Linked DNA regions of Drosophila melanogaster. The protein of the gene in region 2 interacts with the protein of the main gene of each other region in a pairwise test. Each region holds a gene or a part of one and is shown on either strand. Other genes may lie near its edges.

The links.
Region 1: the proteins of CG7945 (region 2) and CG3492 interact in a two-hybrid assay, tested with the Drosophila melanogaster proteins (one large-scale study listed by BioGRID).

What each region holds. Positions count from the first base shown.
Region 1 is NT_033778.4:24,469,583-24,477,212, reverse strand, and holds CG3492 (uncharacterized protein), read right to left. Parts: upstream 4,502-7,630; 5' UTR 4,376-4,501; coding exon 3,161-4,375; 3' UTR 2,987-3,160; downstream 1-2,986. Other genes in the region: CG16837 (uncharacterized protein), read right to left, coding at 1,279-1,597, 1,669-1,742; CG3494 (uncharacterized protein), read right to left, coding at 2,032-2,754.
Region 2 is NT_037436.4:15,519,820-15,528,537, reverse strand, and holds CG7945 (uncharacterized protein), read left to right. Parts: upstream 1-4,400; 5' UTR 4,401-4,705; exon of another isoform or gene 4,706-4,820; coding exon of another isoform or gene 4,821-5,026; intron 5,027-5,073; 5' UTR 5,074-5,322; coding exon 5,323-5,570; intron 5,571-5,957; coding exon 5,958-5,978; intron 5,979-6,035; coding exon 6,036-6,178; intron 6,179-6,342; coding exon 6,343-6,719; 3' UTR 6,720-6,827; downstream 6,828-8,718. Other genes in the region: obst-H (obstructor-H), read left to right, coding at 1-181; CG42728 (uncharacterized protein), read left to right, coding at 357-827; CG42729 (uncharacterized protein), read left to right, coding at 1,030-1,587; CG33985 (uncharacterized protein), read left to right, coding at 1,731-2,345, 2,408-2,626; CG33986 (uncharacterized protein), read left to right, coding at 3,315-3,330, 3,389-4,206; yellow-k, read right to left, coding at 6,890-7,918.

The DNA of each region.
Region 1 (7,630 bases), on a different chromosome or scaffold from region 2:
TCCGCATTCCGCATTCGACTCCGATCGAATCCAATCGAATCGAATCGACTCGAATCGCATCAAATAAATTAAATGTCAACATGTGTCGAACGCTCCGCTGTTTGGTCACTTAATCACGTCGAGCGATGTCCCAACCGACTCTTCAACTCCTTTGATGGAGCCGGCGATTGCGGCCTTTCAGCATGGCCAGTAATACGATAGGAGGATTATCCCGCTTCAAAAACCCATTCATAACGGTCACACTTACTTACGAACCAGGGAACACTTGCATTTAGCGGATTTGCTGCTCTGTCTGGCCGTAATATAAATATTTTCACCACATTGAATAATAAAAGAGCACGGAACCAACGGGCAGCACATGTATCCTGACAGCTTAAACACCGCCAAAATACATTCGTAAGCCCCCGGCAAAATGCCATACTCGTATTCCTGCTCCAACAACAGGTTGAATAAACACGGGCAATTGGAAACTAAAACAATGCCGAATTATTTGCCGAACAATGGGCACAAAGCAACCAGATTTCATTGTAGGAGTTTAACATTTCGTCCCCTGGGAAATTGTGATTTTTTTGTTCTATAAATTACGAGGCAAACCTAAACGAGGCATACAAACAAAGCTCGATGTGTGCCTTCTATTGATTATATTCATCGCATGTTTGATTGGGTAAACTGATCCACAGGAATTTGTATAGTTTTTATGTTACTTTTCATATCTCGACTTCCAATGGATCTGCAAAAAAATCCAAAATATTTTATTCGCTCTACAGGTGAAACTGTACTCATGTAACGATTTCCCGAAAGTCACGTTGTGAGCCCGCCCAAGTGTAATTGCCATTATCCATTAATTTTTCCGGTAATCTGTGGCCATCGAGCGATGCGCAGTGGGGTCTTTGGCTTACTGACAGCCAGCGTGATTGGGTTTTAATGAAGCTGCATCGTGGCTTTCAGAAAGCCAAAGGCCAACTACCAAAGACCAGCGAAGATTAATGAATGTGGCGGACCCAATTGAGAGGTCGTTGGATTCCAAACCACGATACAACTGACGCATCCGAGGCTGCACTAATTGCCGCTTTGATGCGTTTTCCGGATTGCAAGCGCTGCATAAACGGATTAGTTTGCTCTGGTCTCGCTGGGCTTTTCCTAAATTTTACAATTTTCCGCCCAATCCACTGTGACCTTTGCTCATTTGCCGCAATTGCATGCAATTTAATTTGGGTGGAATATGGATACAGTACAATTAACATCCGCACACACACACGCACAGCGACCGGAAATGTTTTATGATGTTGAGCTGCTCCTGAGCCTCCTCAGCTTCTGCACAACGATCAAAATGAAGTCCGTGCCCAGGGTCATGTGGATTTCGCCCATATTGGAGCGAATCCGCATGAAGGTTATGTCGTTCGAGGGGTCCAGATCCCTGACCACGTTGCGGGCCATGAAGAGCAGCGGCTTCAGGTTAGAGACGAACACGAAGGTGCGTCTCTGACTGCAGGTGGATCGGAGGGGCACTCCATGGCTATCCAAGATCATGATGTCTCGGGCGCCGCGATGGGCGAAGAGATTGACGAACGCATCCCCATCGTAGGATCGACTGCGACTAGGGAGATGGACAAATGCGGAGCAGGTCAAGGGGTCTGTTGCTGTTGACGATTTCGTGTTCCAACTTACATAACCGCCTTCTTTACCACTGGAGTGCTTTTGCGCTGAGTTTCAGTTACTGATAACCTCGAACTTCTGGACATTTTCGGGCTTCGCAAATGTAACTAGTAGTGAGTATAGTAGTGTCCTCTTCCCAGCCAACTAGGTTTTGACCTATTTGATTTGATGACGCAGGAATCAGAGCTTACTATCATTACGAGTTCAGCAAACTCAGGCTGCCAGAAACTTACCCAAGGAGGAATCTTTGGTGAGGAATCTTCCATGAGCACGATTTAAGCAAAACTACGGAATTAGGGGCTAAACTGCACTGCTGTCAATTTATTTGGCAATACTTTGAAATTTGATTTGAATTAATAATAAATAATATATGATTTATATAGGAATGCGGGTGCGCAAGTAGCTGAGCAGCGCCGGAGTCCCCATCGATAGAATCTGGTGGCGGGGCTGGCGGAAGGGATTTCCCCACAGCTCCAATTCCACGAGATTCTGCATTTTGCCCAAGATCGGCGGCACTATTTGGATGTCATTGTTTCCCAAGTTCAATCTCTTCAGTTCCCGCATTCCGCCCAGGCCCGATTCACTAGCATCGATGGCACGGATCTGGTTGTCGTGGGCCGACAAGGTTTCCAGTCTCTCTAGCTCGTAGATGCAGCGTGGCAACTGGCGGAAGCGATTGTGGGAGATGTCCAGATTGCGGAGCAGCCGCAGTCCGCCCAACTCCATGGGCAAGTCGCACAGAAGATTGTTGGAGAGGCTCAGGTTAGTCAACTTCGAGTACTGCGAGATGTTGGTGGGAACGAAGGAGATCTGGTTTTTGTTCAGGACCAACTGGGTGAGGTGCTCGGAGAGCAAGGGCAGATCTTTGGGCATCTCGAGCAACCTGTTGCCATCCAAGCTCACGATATTCACTAGCTCCTGCTGAGCTGCCTCGAATACCTCCATGGGCACCTCGCTGATTTGAGCCTTTGACACCTGAAGGATCCGGGTGTTCCTCATGTGGTACTTGTCCGGAAACGGCCACTGACTCCCATCCGCTTCCGCTTCCTTTCCTCCCTGCAGCCTGGGGCTGTTCAATCCGTCACAAACCATATACATGTCGAGGATTACCTAGTACAGAATGAATCGATTCCGTAAAGAAGTTGAAGTGAGCAAACTTACTGAATTCTAGAAAAAGTGTATAATGCTTTGTGACTTGCTTCGCCTGATTCAAACGGAAAACTGAAATATCGAAGTATATATATATGAAGGAGGAAACAGCATATCCAAAGGGATTGTGATCCATCAAACCCATATTCAAGATACTTGGAATGAATGCACAAGTGTATCTCGTATCTATGTATCTATGCACATTAATCATTTACTTGTGGTTTACAGCAGCTTTAAGTGGGGTGACATGGCTTAAGAATAAGAATATAGATTTCCGCCTAGCAATTGATCCTAATTAATTTTCTTCGAAAAGTTATGAGTAGATCCCAACTATCTACTGGAAATTTTACACCTCTCAGATCACTCCACAGTCCGTCAGCGAGATCAAGTTGTGGCTCATGGGCAGGTGTCCGACGGCCACCTGAATCCTCTCCAGGAGCTGCATGCCCTTGCGAACCTTCCCGAAGGCGATTCTCCTGCCGTTGAGAATGGACAGGGGCTTAAAGCTGATGGTGAAGTTGACGGCAGTCCGGGCGTTTCCCCTGACATAGCGACTGGGAAAGGAGAGGATTCCGGCGTCCACTCCGTGGTTCAGCACCTCGAAGTCGTGCTCGATGTTGGTCAGCTCGGTGCTTCTCTGCGGATCCATGGCCAGTCGTCCCTCCATCCAAATGGGCGCCAGGGCGCGGTTGAATACGATGGCGCTACTGTTGTTCTGGGTGCAGATCCTCATGAACTCCAGCACCACCTGCGGACAGGCCTCGGTGAAGAGCTGGATGATCAGCCTGCCCTGGATGCGGGCTTCCCGCACCTCGATGTCCAGGTAGATCTGCGGACGCAGCAGCTTGCACAGAACGCCCACGTCGCATTGGTCCATCAAGTTCTCGTAGCGATGGAGCACGTGCATGGGAATCTCGCAGCTGAAGGAGCCCGAGGACTTGGGCTTGTACCGCTTTGACTTGCCCGCCTCTGGGTCAAACAGCTCGCCTCCCTTGTGGAACTCCTTGTTCTTCTCCAGTTGGCGGCGCTCCTTCTCCCGGGCCAAGTTGGCATTGCGCCACCTGCCGGCTGCCAGGCGCTCCGGCGACTTGGTGAAGGTCCGCAGCGTGTTGTTGCTCTTCTTGTAGAGTGCGGTCAGCATCTCCATGTAGGAGAGCTCCATGCCATTTCCCTCGATCTGCACCTTCGGGGGCGGCAGATAGGTGTTGACCTTGCCCTTGATGTTGGACATTCGATCGCGGTGCTGGCGATACAGCTCCCGCTGCTCGTTCATCACTATGTGGGATCGGATCTTGGGCATCGTCCTCCGGGAAGTGGGCACGGGGATCAGCCGCTGGTGGTGCCGGTAGTTATTCTCCAGCTCTTGCCTCTTCACATTAAAGGTGTGCTTGGGCCGGGAATCCTCCACCTGGCCATCCAAGCCCACCAGGTTGGGATTGTGGGTGTTGTACACCGGATTGGTCATTGTGTAGGGTCCGCGCTTCACTGCCGCCACATAGGGCGTCATGGAGCTGGGGATCTGGGGAATTTTGCCCCGGGAAGCTTGTGGCGCATCTCCGCGGATGAACATTGTGGCTAACTCTTCCAAAATCAATGTAGTCTATATACTTGAATTTGAAATGACTAAGCGGGGTTCGGGTTGTACGTGTGTGGTAAGAAATGTTTGACTGATTGGATTTGGAGGGGATGGGTCGAACTAACTGGCATAGGTCACCTGGATTGAAAACTATAACTGCGAGAAGCCATCTGGATTAGAGCGTGAGCCCACTTAATTATCTGCCATATGCGTTTTTATAAACTATAACTAACTGGAACATAAAGTGCGTGCCGCGGCGCGTCTGAATATGCTTTGATGTGGAAAACAACGTGAAATTGCACATTTCGGCATCAATTATTAATTCGATGTATAATGAGGCGCACATACGTATGCGTACATATGTAAAGTACTAAACTATGAAGCTCAATTTAATTATTTTCAACTATTTTGAACGGAATTAACACTGCGGTGGCCTCATAAATGCAAACTTGCATTCGTGTAATTAGTGATTAAATTAAAATCAGCAAATATGCACGTCATTAAAAGCGAACTTCACATCAGCCATTGTAACTTCACTGCACTTCTAATTCCCATTGTTTTTTGGCCAGTTAGCTACTTTAACTGAATACTATTGAATACTATTGTGTCCCCATGTCCACATATTTAAGAGCTTCATTATTTGTTGCTCATTTGCTGCATCCGGATTTGGCTTTATTTTCCGCGCTTTTGGCTTGTTGTAATCGCTGGTTAAATGGGCCATGAAATGGTTTTGACACTTTTTGTCAATGCAATCGGTGTTTTTAAGTCCGTTCAACCGTTGGCAGGATGGACAATTAGTGGCCGTGGCACTTGAATGACTGTGCGACAAAGTGTGGATAAATGGAGCAGCAATGCAAAGTAATAACAATAGAAACCACTGATTTGCACGGCCTTTTAATTTATAATATTTGTGTATTTTTTACTCATCCGAGGCCGTGTATTAAATCAAAGGCAGGGCGCTGGTCGATTCAGTCCCTTTTTAAATCGGATTAAACAATATCAATAACATATGGTGCCCATATTCGAGTGCAGATAAAAACAATGCACATTAAAAAATCTATTCGCATAGAATTAATTGATTGTTAATATGGTAGGGCTTTTGCGGTCACAATTAAATGATTAATGCGATTGTCTGCGGCACAGCACGATTGAAGGATAGACGAGCTTCGACGGGGGATATACTCATATCTGCATATGGTTGGGTTAATCCGATGCATTAATGGCCCCCACTCAGCCGCCAACGAGGACGTCAGCTGAAGGACATCCCGACCGGGCTAAGAGTGCCGGGCCAAGTGTCATTAAGCCAACGCTCTTATCGCTCAACAATCAACGTCAAAGTGGGTGGTTGGGCGGTCTGGATGGTTGATGGGTGCCTCCATAGACATTGAACCACTTAAGCGTTTTTATTCTCGAGTGCCACGCCCCCCTGGTGCATCAGATGGCGTATTATCATCGCAGTTGGTCCAACTTTCACCTCCACGACGTGTTTTGTACTTTCTCTAGTGCCGAGCCATGGCATTCGCACTTGATATCCATATTGCAGGGTACGTCTCAAAATGTGTCAACAATAAACACACCCACACACCCACGCCGACAAGTGACTGCAATTTGATCAAGCACACATGCACATGCATACTCGATTTTATTTTATTTAACTTATTTTACCCACAATGCCCTGTGACAACATGGTGCATATTTGCACCGGAATGTCGGTCTGGGTCTGGTTATATATGAAATTCTCCAACCAGTCCGGGGTAAATATGTTAAAGCCCTCGTTCCGGCCATAAGTTCTTTAAAACCTATTTGCATATTTCGATTTTGAAAGAAGCTCTCTCTGTTGTCATGATGTCGCAGCACCTGTGCTCATGAGCTCCTCAGATATAACTAAAATTATAGTCAAATAATAGCCACCAGGCGATAAAGTGCTCTTGAATGTATACATCACTCTGCCACGCTCTGACCTTGTGGCCAATGCCCCAAGCCCCCATTCATTCCCAGTCATTTTCTTATGGGCGAAAACAAAGCCGGAGCCCCTAGTTGAGAGCATAATGGATCATAAATGCTCTGGCTCCGAAAATGTGATTTTATTTTGTCTGCTCCGACGCGTCTTTCGCCTCCATTATCCCAGCATCGGGAATCTGGCTTATGGAACCTAGGAGGACCTGTCTTATTGCTGCCCGGCTCCTGGATTACACACATAGTGTGTTCCTTTGTGCGTACGAGTATGCGAGTATGGCCCAAGTGGCACAAGTGTATATTTTTATGACATTCTGTTTTCGCTCAGCTCATGGTTTGGAGCACTTTGTGATTGTCATATCTGCTTACCGCCGAAAAGTGGTGGGGGATTTTGGTAAGACAGCAGAAATCTTGTAAACGGAATGTGCAGGTATTTAAGCTGGGACTTGGCGAGGGTGAAGCGAACGGATATTAAAATACCATCCGCAGAAGGCATTTAATACTCCGCACAACAAGCCGAGACTTTAAGACTGACACCAGCTTCCATCCAGACCATTAAATCAGCTCCAATTAACCATTGCCTTGGCTCAAATGCCATCGATTCCAGGCCCCCCAGGCTGGATCCCCTTTCGACAGTCGTTGAGTGTCTGAATGGGCTGTGCCCGGAGCCATCAGTTAATTAATGCTATTAATGTCTTAGCAGTCGCTCTCGAAACCAGTAATTAACCGAGATGACAAATCAAGTTTGGCCCACAGGACGAGCCTGCGGGGATTATATCAGTTAGCAAGCGGGCCTAATTAACAATAAGCCAAGGTGTTAATAGCCCGACGACGGCCCGAACCCAAAAGTTCGCTTCCCGCCCGAAAAACATTTAATCCCATTCGGAGACAAGGTAGAGGCACTGAACCATCGCCAGGGCCCACACATTAAAAAACCATTTCAAAGGATTAGGTTTAGACTACCATTCCCATTCCCACTCCCACTCGACTCACAGTTGCTTACCTTTTGCGAGAGCCAAATGGTAAATTCGAAAAGTTGTTGTGCCGAAGATGAAAATGCTGAGATACGCTTTTAAGTATCCGTGTAATCTCAAAACAATTTATTAGCCAGGAAAGCAAGCAGCTGAGTGGGAAAGGCCAATTAGGTTAATGTGTCGAAAGAAGTCGCAAAATAAATTCCAAATATAGAAGACAGCCATAATTAAATGCCGCTAAAGTTGGACAGAAGCCGAAATGTGAGCACATTTTACCCGTATGTAAGCCTGTGCCATATTTATTTCTGAAGGGATTTGC
Region 2 (8,718 bases):
CAATTACTTCTACTACTGCATCAAGGGCTTTCTGACCCTGCAACAGTGCCCCTTCTACTACGGCTGGGACATAGAACGCCGGAGTTGTGTGCAGATAGGTGTGGCGAAATGCTATGGAAACTCCAGAAGAATAGGTCGGAAAGCCCCATTGCCACCCAGAAAACAACTCATCAAGTCTTAAGGGGAGTTGTCTACTAGATAAGAGCTCTATTTATTGACAAGTTACAAGATTGTGGCGACATGAGACCTTTAATTAAATATAACTTATTAAAGAAGACCTTGATTTTGATTGACTTGCCACCGGGCTGAGCTATAAAAAGCTTAGCCCACCACCACGAACTCCACAATGATCGAGAATGCAGCAATCTTTGCGCGTGGAACTGCTATTGATCGTTTACGGGTTGATTCTCGTTGTCTGGGGAATCAATGGATTAAACATACCCGAGTGCAGTGGCCAGAATGGATTTATTAACAATACGCGATCCAATTGCAATTACTCCCTCATCAATTGCTCTGGCCAGAACTCGATGTTCTGCACGGACAACACGACCTGCAATGCCAACTTCACCTGTAGCGACATACTTCCGGTGGATAATTCAACAGCACTACCCATAAGCACAACTCCCAATGTGGTAACCACAGCCTCGACAACTGTTTCACCTTCCGATATTCGACGAGAGTGTCGTCAGGGTGTTACCAAAAGATTTAGCTATCCGCAGAATTGTAACTACTTCTACTATTGCGTTGATGGCTTTCTGCTGGTGGAGCAATGTCCTATTGGCTACGCATTCGATCCCCAAACTGGAGCTTGTGGTGGACGTACGTAATCGCTCCAGCGATTGTACTTTAAAGTGAAAATAATCGCACCAAACTTTTAATTAAGCCTCTTGTCGTGTCAAATTAAACAATTATAGCTAGAAAATAAAAATGAATTTAGAGTCTTATCAGAGAACAAGCAAACCGCACAGCATTTCCACCTATAAAGAAGGCACTGATCTCGGCGATGAGGCAGTGCAGAAAGCCTATTGAATGTGGCAATTGTTGATAGTCTTGGCCTGCCTGTTACCTGGCTACCTCTGGGTGCAGGTGCAGGCGGTTTTTCTCGAGGAATGCAAAGGTGTGATCATCAATAAGGTGACCAATGAGAATCAGGAGTGCAGTGAGTTTGTTCACTGCGATGGCGATGATTCCTACTACTGCAATGGGGATTGTCGTGAGGCCGTGGAGTGTTATACCAATGTGGTTACCACACCGGTTACCACATTAAGACCCATAGGAACCTCTACGGAACGAGCACCATCCGCAGAGCCAGTCAATACTACATCTACGACTTTAGCTACTACCACGCCAACAACGATTGCTGTAACCACGACTACAAGCCAAGTTCCGAGCACCGATGTCTATGTCATCTGCAAGACGAGTGGAAGGAACGGGGTCTATCCCTATCCGGCAAATAGCAATTACTATTATCAGTGTATTTCCGGTTATCTGTTGCTCCAGCAGTGCCCACAGAATTTCCATTTCGATGTCGCCCAGGGACAGTGCGTTGCCACAAAACCCAATCGTTCATCGGGCTTACGTTTGTAAGATTCATATCCCAGTTTGTAATAAAGCAATTATCAAAGGCGTGTTCATGGGCAAATTATTTTCTGATAACGAAAGGTGGTAAGAAAACCCCAAAGTTTGCATACGCAATCGATCAGTTTACCATTCGAGATCGAGCTGAGAAGATGTTTGGAGTATTGAAGTTTGGATCCATCCTGGTGTCCCTCCTATTTCTGGCCACCAGTCATGCGGATGTTTTCGATGAGTGTAACGATGGTAACAACCTATCCTTTGTTACTTCGCCAAAGAGTTGCGCACATTATATCTTCTGCAACGGCGATGAGTCATACGATGGTGAATGCGAGGATGGCGAATACTTTAGTCAAGATATGGAAATGTGTGAGCCCATGGGCGATATCGACTGTCGCACGGGATCGGAGGTGCAAAGGGAAAACACTACCGACAGCTCCTCAACGGAGATTACCTCGGAGTCCAGTACGATTTCCACAGTTGTAATCACCACATTAGCCCCATCGGCAGTGGTCACATTACGACCATCAGTCAATCAAAGTGGAGCCAGCAGTACGACTTCCGTATCGCCTGCTATAGAGATTATTGTGACCAATGTGTGCCCACAACTGGATAATCAGAGTCGTATCGCATTGCTGCCAAATCAGAACTCCTGTTCAGATTATTACATTTGCTATCGCGGTGTGGCACTTCCCATGAGTTGTGCCACCAGTTTGCACTTTAATTCACTCACCGGAAAATGCGATCATCCCGAAAACGTTAGGTGTTTGGTGGGTTAACCTATGGTACTTCATATCTTATAATTTTTGTATAATAAATTATTTATTTACAGGCCATGACTTATAATCCCAGGGAGCAGTGCAAGCGACATGTAATCGATGTTTATCCGCATTCCGACAACTGCAATTACTTTTACCAGTGTCGCTCTGGCTATTTGATGGTCCAGCAGTGTCCTTTCTTCTACGGATGGGACTACGAGAAGCGATCCTGTGTAGCACTAGGTCAAGCCAAATGCTACAACAAGCTGCAAATGCAAATGAAAATTTATTAAATACACATAATAATATTTATTAAAAAAAAAAAACGAAATTTTACATTTAGTTAATTAACGAGCTTTGTGGAAAAATTGAAAATATTGAACATAAAGTGTTGTATGTTTACATATGGAATAAACCTAAATACTGGTAATCAATAAGACTTCTTTGTAAAACTATCAAGCAACACGGCCGACCTTGACTCTTTCCTAAATTTATCAGGTGATATCAAGCAATTCTTTCATATCTCTGCAAAATGAAGACCTTGAATCGAAACATTTGCCAAAATAGGCCAACCTTCGATTTGAAACATAGTAATTTGACCGATATGATACGATTTTCCTCACAAGGACAACATATGTCATCGTGATATCACCTAATCAATTTCCTAGCTAATCTCGGCTTCCTTTTCACCAGACTTTAAAATTAAAAATCCAGCATTAAAGTTGTATCTGCTTGCCATTTCGAGATACGATATCGATTGATTGCGAGGAAAGGGAGCCATATTTCTTTTTTGGCAAAACAAAATACAGGAGTCTTATCAACTTCTTCCTACAAGCAATTGAAAATGTTAATTTTCTGATACTGAGCCACATATGCGGCTGTATCTTGGCGCCGAATGTATCACATATATGCCAAGTTCACCGGGCATTACGAAATTAGAATATAACTGCGCTCTACTGGAGTCTGACGATAGAAAAAACGATGATGCTTAATACGGGTTAGTAAGATGGATATTCTCAAAACTAATAGTATGATGAGAATTTATTGGTTTCCAGCTTTCTATTTGATCGTGAACTGCTTGCTGGCCACAGCGCAATTAACCTGGAGACCATCGAAGCCCACAAACTCGGTGACCATCAGGCAGAGTGGTAGTAGAATATGTGCCAATCATTTGGTTGGTGAGTTTGTGGAGCATGCGGAGGACTGCCACATGTTTTACCTGTGCGTTGAGAACGGGGATGCAGTCCTGGCTTCCTGCCCACCAACGATGCTCTTCAATTCGGAGAGCAGACTCTGCGATTCGGCGACAAATGTAAAGTGCAGAAATGAAACGGATCCCATAGAGACTCCTCCATTCGATGGCGGAAATGGTGATGGAGATCCGAATAACATGGTCACGGATGCCGCCACTTATTGCTCCACGTTGGTGGAGCAACAACAATCCAGCGACAGGATTGTATATGTCGGCAGCTCGAGTAGTTGCAGAAAGTACTATATTTGCTACTATGGACAGGCGATCTTGCAGGAGTGCAGCTCGCAATTGCACTGGAATGCAATGACGGGTAAATGCGATATTCCGGAGAGAGCCCAGTGCACCGTAGGTGGTCAGGAGGATATGCCAACGAATGGAAATTCCGGTTTCCCATCCGGTGGCACCGCCATTTCGAGTGATCTCATTCACTGCCCCGCCTACGGACAGCATCTGTATCCCCATATGCAGCGATGCGAGTTCTTTATCTACTGCGTCAAAGGACACGCCAGCCTGCAGCAATGTCCTTTCTATTACTTCTTCGATATTGCCACCAAAAGTTGTCAATGGTCGCGCACGGCTCAGTGTGTGCGAGATTTAAATTTGGCACCACTAATAAAATAGAAGTTTTAATATATGTAGCATACAATTTTTTGAACTTTGGGAGATACCAAATGCTTTTAGAGAGGTTTCTTTTAAAAGTACTACTACTTTTAAAACTCCCGCCGATTACAGATGAAAACCAGAACTAATGTGTGTACACACTAACTTTCGACAACAATGTTCGATGAATCGGTTTCGATAAAGTTGACTATATGGCCACTGTTCTTTTTTGCGGTAGTCAGACACGGTCATACAAATCCCACAATATAATGTTAAATTAATCATATTTATACTTATCTTCATTTAAGTAAAGCGAAATATTCGATTGACCCTCGAAGTAAACAACCCAGGTGCTCAAAAATGAAGCTAACAAAGTTAGATTAATCGGTGTCTACGAATTATCTGGAAACACAAGCATTTCCCGTCATCTAACTCAAACTGCCCAACTCGAAAAATCAACAATATTTTTGCATCGGGCCAAAGGTGCATTAAAACCGGAGCCTCAAGTCTCGGGCGGCAGGTAATTTATTCAAGTTCAAAACAGCCACCCGGGGATTCTCCTAGACATCGGTTGCCACAAGAAAAGAAGAAGAATTAGGCGTAATCTTCTAGAAAATTGGTGATTTCAGCCGAGAATGTTTGAGAATTTTCGAGGTATTTTTCGGAAACGGCGTCGCTGCGAGTCGGACACAACACCGCCGCCACCGCCGCCGCAACCCGCCCAGGAGGCGGAGATAATAAACCGATATCCGGAAGATATAGAAGCCGATACGCCCGAGTCCAATGATGGCTTTGACGCCTCCTGGACCGAAGGCTCTTTTCACAGCCCACATTCAGATAGGTAATTGAATTCTGCGCATTCACGCTTCCTCTTCTCTCTTATTGCAGCTTCAAAGCAAAAACAGATAAAATTAAGCTTAAGCAACAGCATCAAACACTTCGACACCCACTCGAAAAAAAAAGCTTAAGACATTCCAAAAAAAGTAGCCAGCAAAGCGGCTAAAAAAAAATAAATAAGATAAAACCAAAACCCAAAACGAAACAGTAGGCAGCTATCCAACCATCTTGGGTGACAAACACTTGACCGGCTTTTTGGAGGGCGACAGGTTTAAATCAAATCTGGAGCAGCCGCAGGATATGGAAGTTGATGCGCCAACAACGCAGGAAACCAGTGACACTCATCATCATCACCATAGTACTTATCACCAGCAGCTGCATCAGATCTCGCCCAGCGATTACCACTCGGAGGCATCCATGAATTTTGATCATTTGCAAGACCTGAGGGCCGATGCCATGGCCTCCTCATCCCCATCCGGATCCGGAGGTGGTGGCAATGGCGGGAACAGCTCCTACGGACTCGTCGACGATAGTAGAGCTCTGGACAGGTTGTTATTCCATCATAACTAAAACCAAATCAGACACGAAACCAAAACAATACCACCGATTATATTCACACAACCTCGTAGCGAAACAAAAGTTATACGTTTCTTATCTATTATTTCTTCACACTACCAGCTACCAGCTTCATTCGAATCTTTTGTTCCATAATAGTAATGGTGATAGCTTAAAGTATCTGCCGCGAACGCCCACACAACTCTCAAAAGAGCTTTGTGTGCGAGCGCCTTTTCTTGTAGACATATTCTGGTTATAATTTCGTAGCTCTATAAGTGGTCAGTCGATCTGTAGCAGAGCGATCTAACAATCTAACGTTGCTTGTCTCGTTTCATGACTTAACCACTGAACCGCAATCACACTTAACCGACATGTGACAGACCATTTAACGCCAGCGAGAGGTAAATCTTGAATTTATAATAACCACTGAGCGTGACTAACCTTTGAGTGACTCGCAGATTTGTCACCATACTGGATAGTTTGGATGCACGTGTGGAGAAGCTGCGCAAGGATGCACTCAACCTGCAGGAGAAGAAAGACTACCTTCTGATGTCCATGGATCTGATCAAGAGCAACGAAATGATGCAGAACATGAGCGAAGGTAAGTGACAGTGATTCTTAAAACTAATTTGAACCCTCATTGTTCATAGCTTTACTAAAATGTGTATTATTTCGAAGTCGGAAGTAATGGTTTCTGATGACAAACTAAGTAAAGGGTTATTCATAGTTGACTGTGAGCTAATGTTGTACCACCTTCTTTTGCAGCTGAACGAGAGGAGATCATTTTGTACCTACAACGGGTGAGCTCTCGCTTGGCCACCGTGGAGCTGCGTGTGCGCACTGTTCGGGACAACTCTCAGGAGGATTCCCTTAGCCAGATAAATGTATTGATTGACAGCATGATCAAGATGGGTGATCCCGTGATCGGACGCCAACGATGCCAGTTTTACTTAAACGCCTGCTGCAGCAGCTCAATGGATCCATCCGGACACATGGACACCGTGCCCGAGGCCGATGTTGGGCCGGTCGACAAGAAGTTCGAGAGCGTTTTGCTTGGCTGCACTCTGGACGATCAGAAGAACATCAAGAAGCGGCTCCAGGCCTTAATGGCTTATCTGAATAAGCAAACTGTTAGCCATTAATTAAATTGTTTTTTGGTCTATTAACTATTCATAGCATTATTATCAAACCAAACGAAATACATCACCAAGCTAGATGAAACGAATAATAAAGAAAGCAGCATATACACCAGGCCAGCAGTGTTTGAATCAAGTAAAATATAATTTTAATATTTATATTAACAAACTAAATGTTATAAGCTAGGAAAGCACATGTCCTTCGCATTCAAGACCCGATCACTTAGGACCCATAATGCATCATTGGAGGTGAAGAAAATCTGCTGAATGTTCTTCGATGTGATATATATGATTTCGTTGCCCTCGGCTGTGATGTTGGCTAGTTTGGCACATCGTACGACAGCTCCGAATTTGGGGATAACATAGTACAATGTTCCGAAATTGTCGATGATCATGCTGCGACTGCTGCCCAGAAGACTGCCCAAATGTGTGAGTTTAATGCTATTGTTAATTGGTTTGCTTGCTAATTCGCTTTTGCCTTCAATTTCCAGTCTGTCCACCGTACTGTATAGATCACCATCCTGGTCGGAGAGTATGAGTTCCCCTTGAATTCCGAAGATGAAATCCACTGGCTTGATGGGAAACGATTGATTCATATTCTCGTACTTATTGCTCTCCAAGGATAGGCGGTGCCACGTCTGCTCCAGGATGTCGTAGGCTAGAATTTCTGGTACCTTTCCAAGGATGAAGTAAATATGGCGCTCGTGCTCGCATCCCGGACTCTTGGGTCCCATTTGGACAGTCAGAAAGTGGGTGTCATTAGCACCTATATGGTGTCCACAATCGATTCTCAATAGCTCCGCGTTGTTACGCATCAGATCGAAGACAAACAAACGGGGTGAGCACGTGCTGCCGGGAAATCCGATGTCCATGACCCACAGTCGACTCAGTGCATCCACCTGGGACCAGTGTGCCTGTTGTACCAGAGAGCAATCATCATGATCCCCCATGGAATGAACATCGATGTGGGGAAAGACGACAGTGGGCATGGGAAAATAGGAAACCGGCCATTGCGCCTCGATCAAAGTGGGCGCATCGTTGCTTTCTACATTTACGCTGAGAAACACTCGCGAAAAGTGCATCGATAGATGACGGACTTTGTAGCTGGATTCGTTTAAACCAGATTCGGATAACAGCCAGGCGTCCGTGGCCAGAATTAGACCAACAATGAGAAATCCCAAGCCGAGGACACCATGTGTGACCATCTTTAAACGCGAATTCAGACTGAGCTTAGGGCTAGAGAACTCTGCTTACGTTGTAAGTGCCCGTTCAAGAAGTCCACCAAAGTGTCTACATCAGCAGTTGGGATCGGGTGTCGCCGAATATATCGGCGACCTGCATTAATGGGGACCAGCATTGGAGTGTTTCTCTATTCACTTGTGGTCCCAAAAAAAAAAAGCTTACCAATTTCAATCGGAGAATATCGAAATCATGACACAGTTTCCTCTTAAAATTACCCAAAATTGGATTGTTATATTTTTCAAAATAAATCAAAGTTAAAACCAACAAAATGGTTGTTTTGTACCACCATAATAACCTATAATAAATAAATCATAATAAGGCTATTTTTGTCGAACTTTAGCGATATTGATAAGGTTCCTGTGAACTGAACCTACCTTAAGTGCTTAGTTTTAACATAACCTTAATGTTAACGAGTATTTCTTCGCGTAAAAGTACAAAAAAACCCTATCATATCTTTACAGCCATTATAAAGATTGCTTATAGATGACTGATTTCACTTGGGAATTGCCAAAAAGCTAAAGTGAACCCCCGAGGAATCAATTAATGTTGTTTAGCTTTCAGTTTTTAGTACATTCGTATTTTTTTAAGTATTAAAATTATTTAATCACACGAATAAACATTAAGAAATATTTTATTCTGGAAACTTTCTTCGTTATAGAGCATTTATCGTTGTAAAAAAAATAATTTCATTAGTTTACATTACATTTTCGTTTATATGTTTAGATTTTTTCTAATTAAATGATATTGTATAATTTATTGCAAA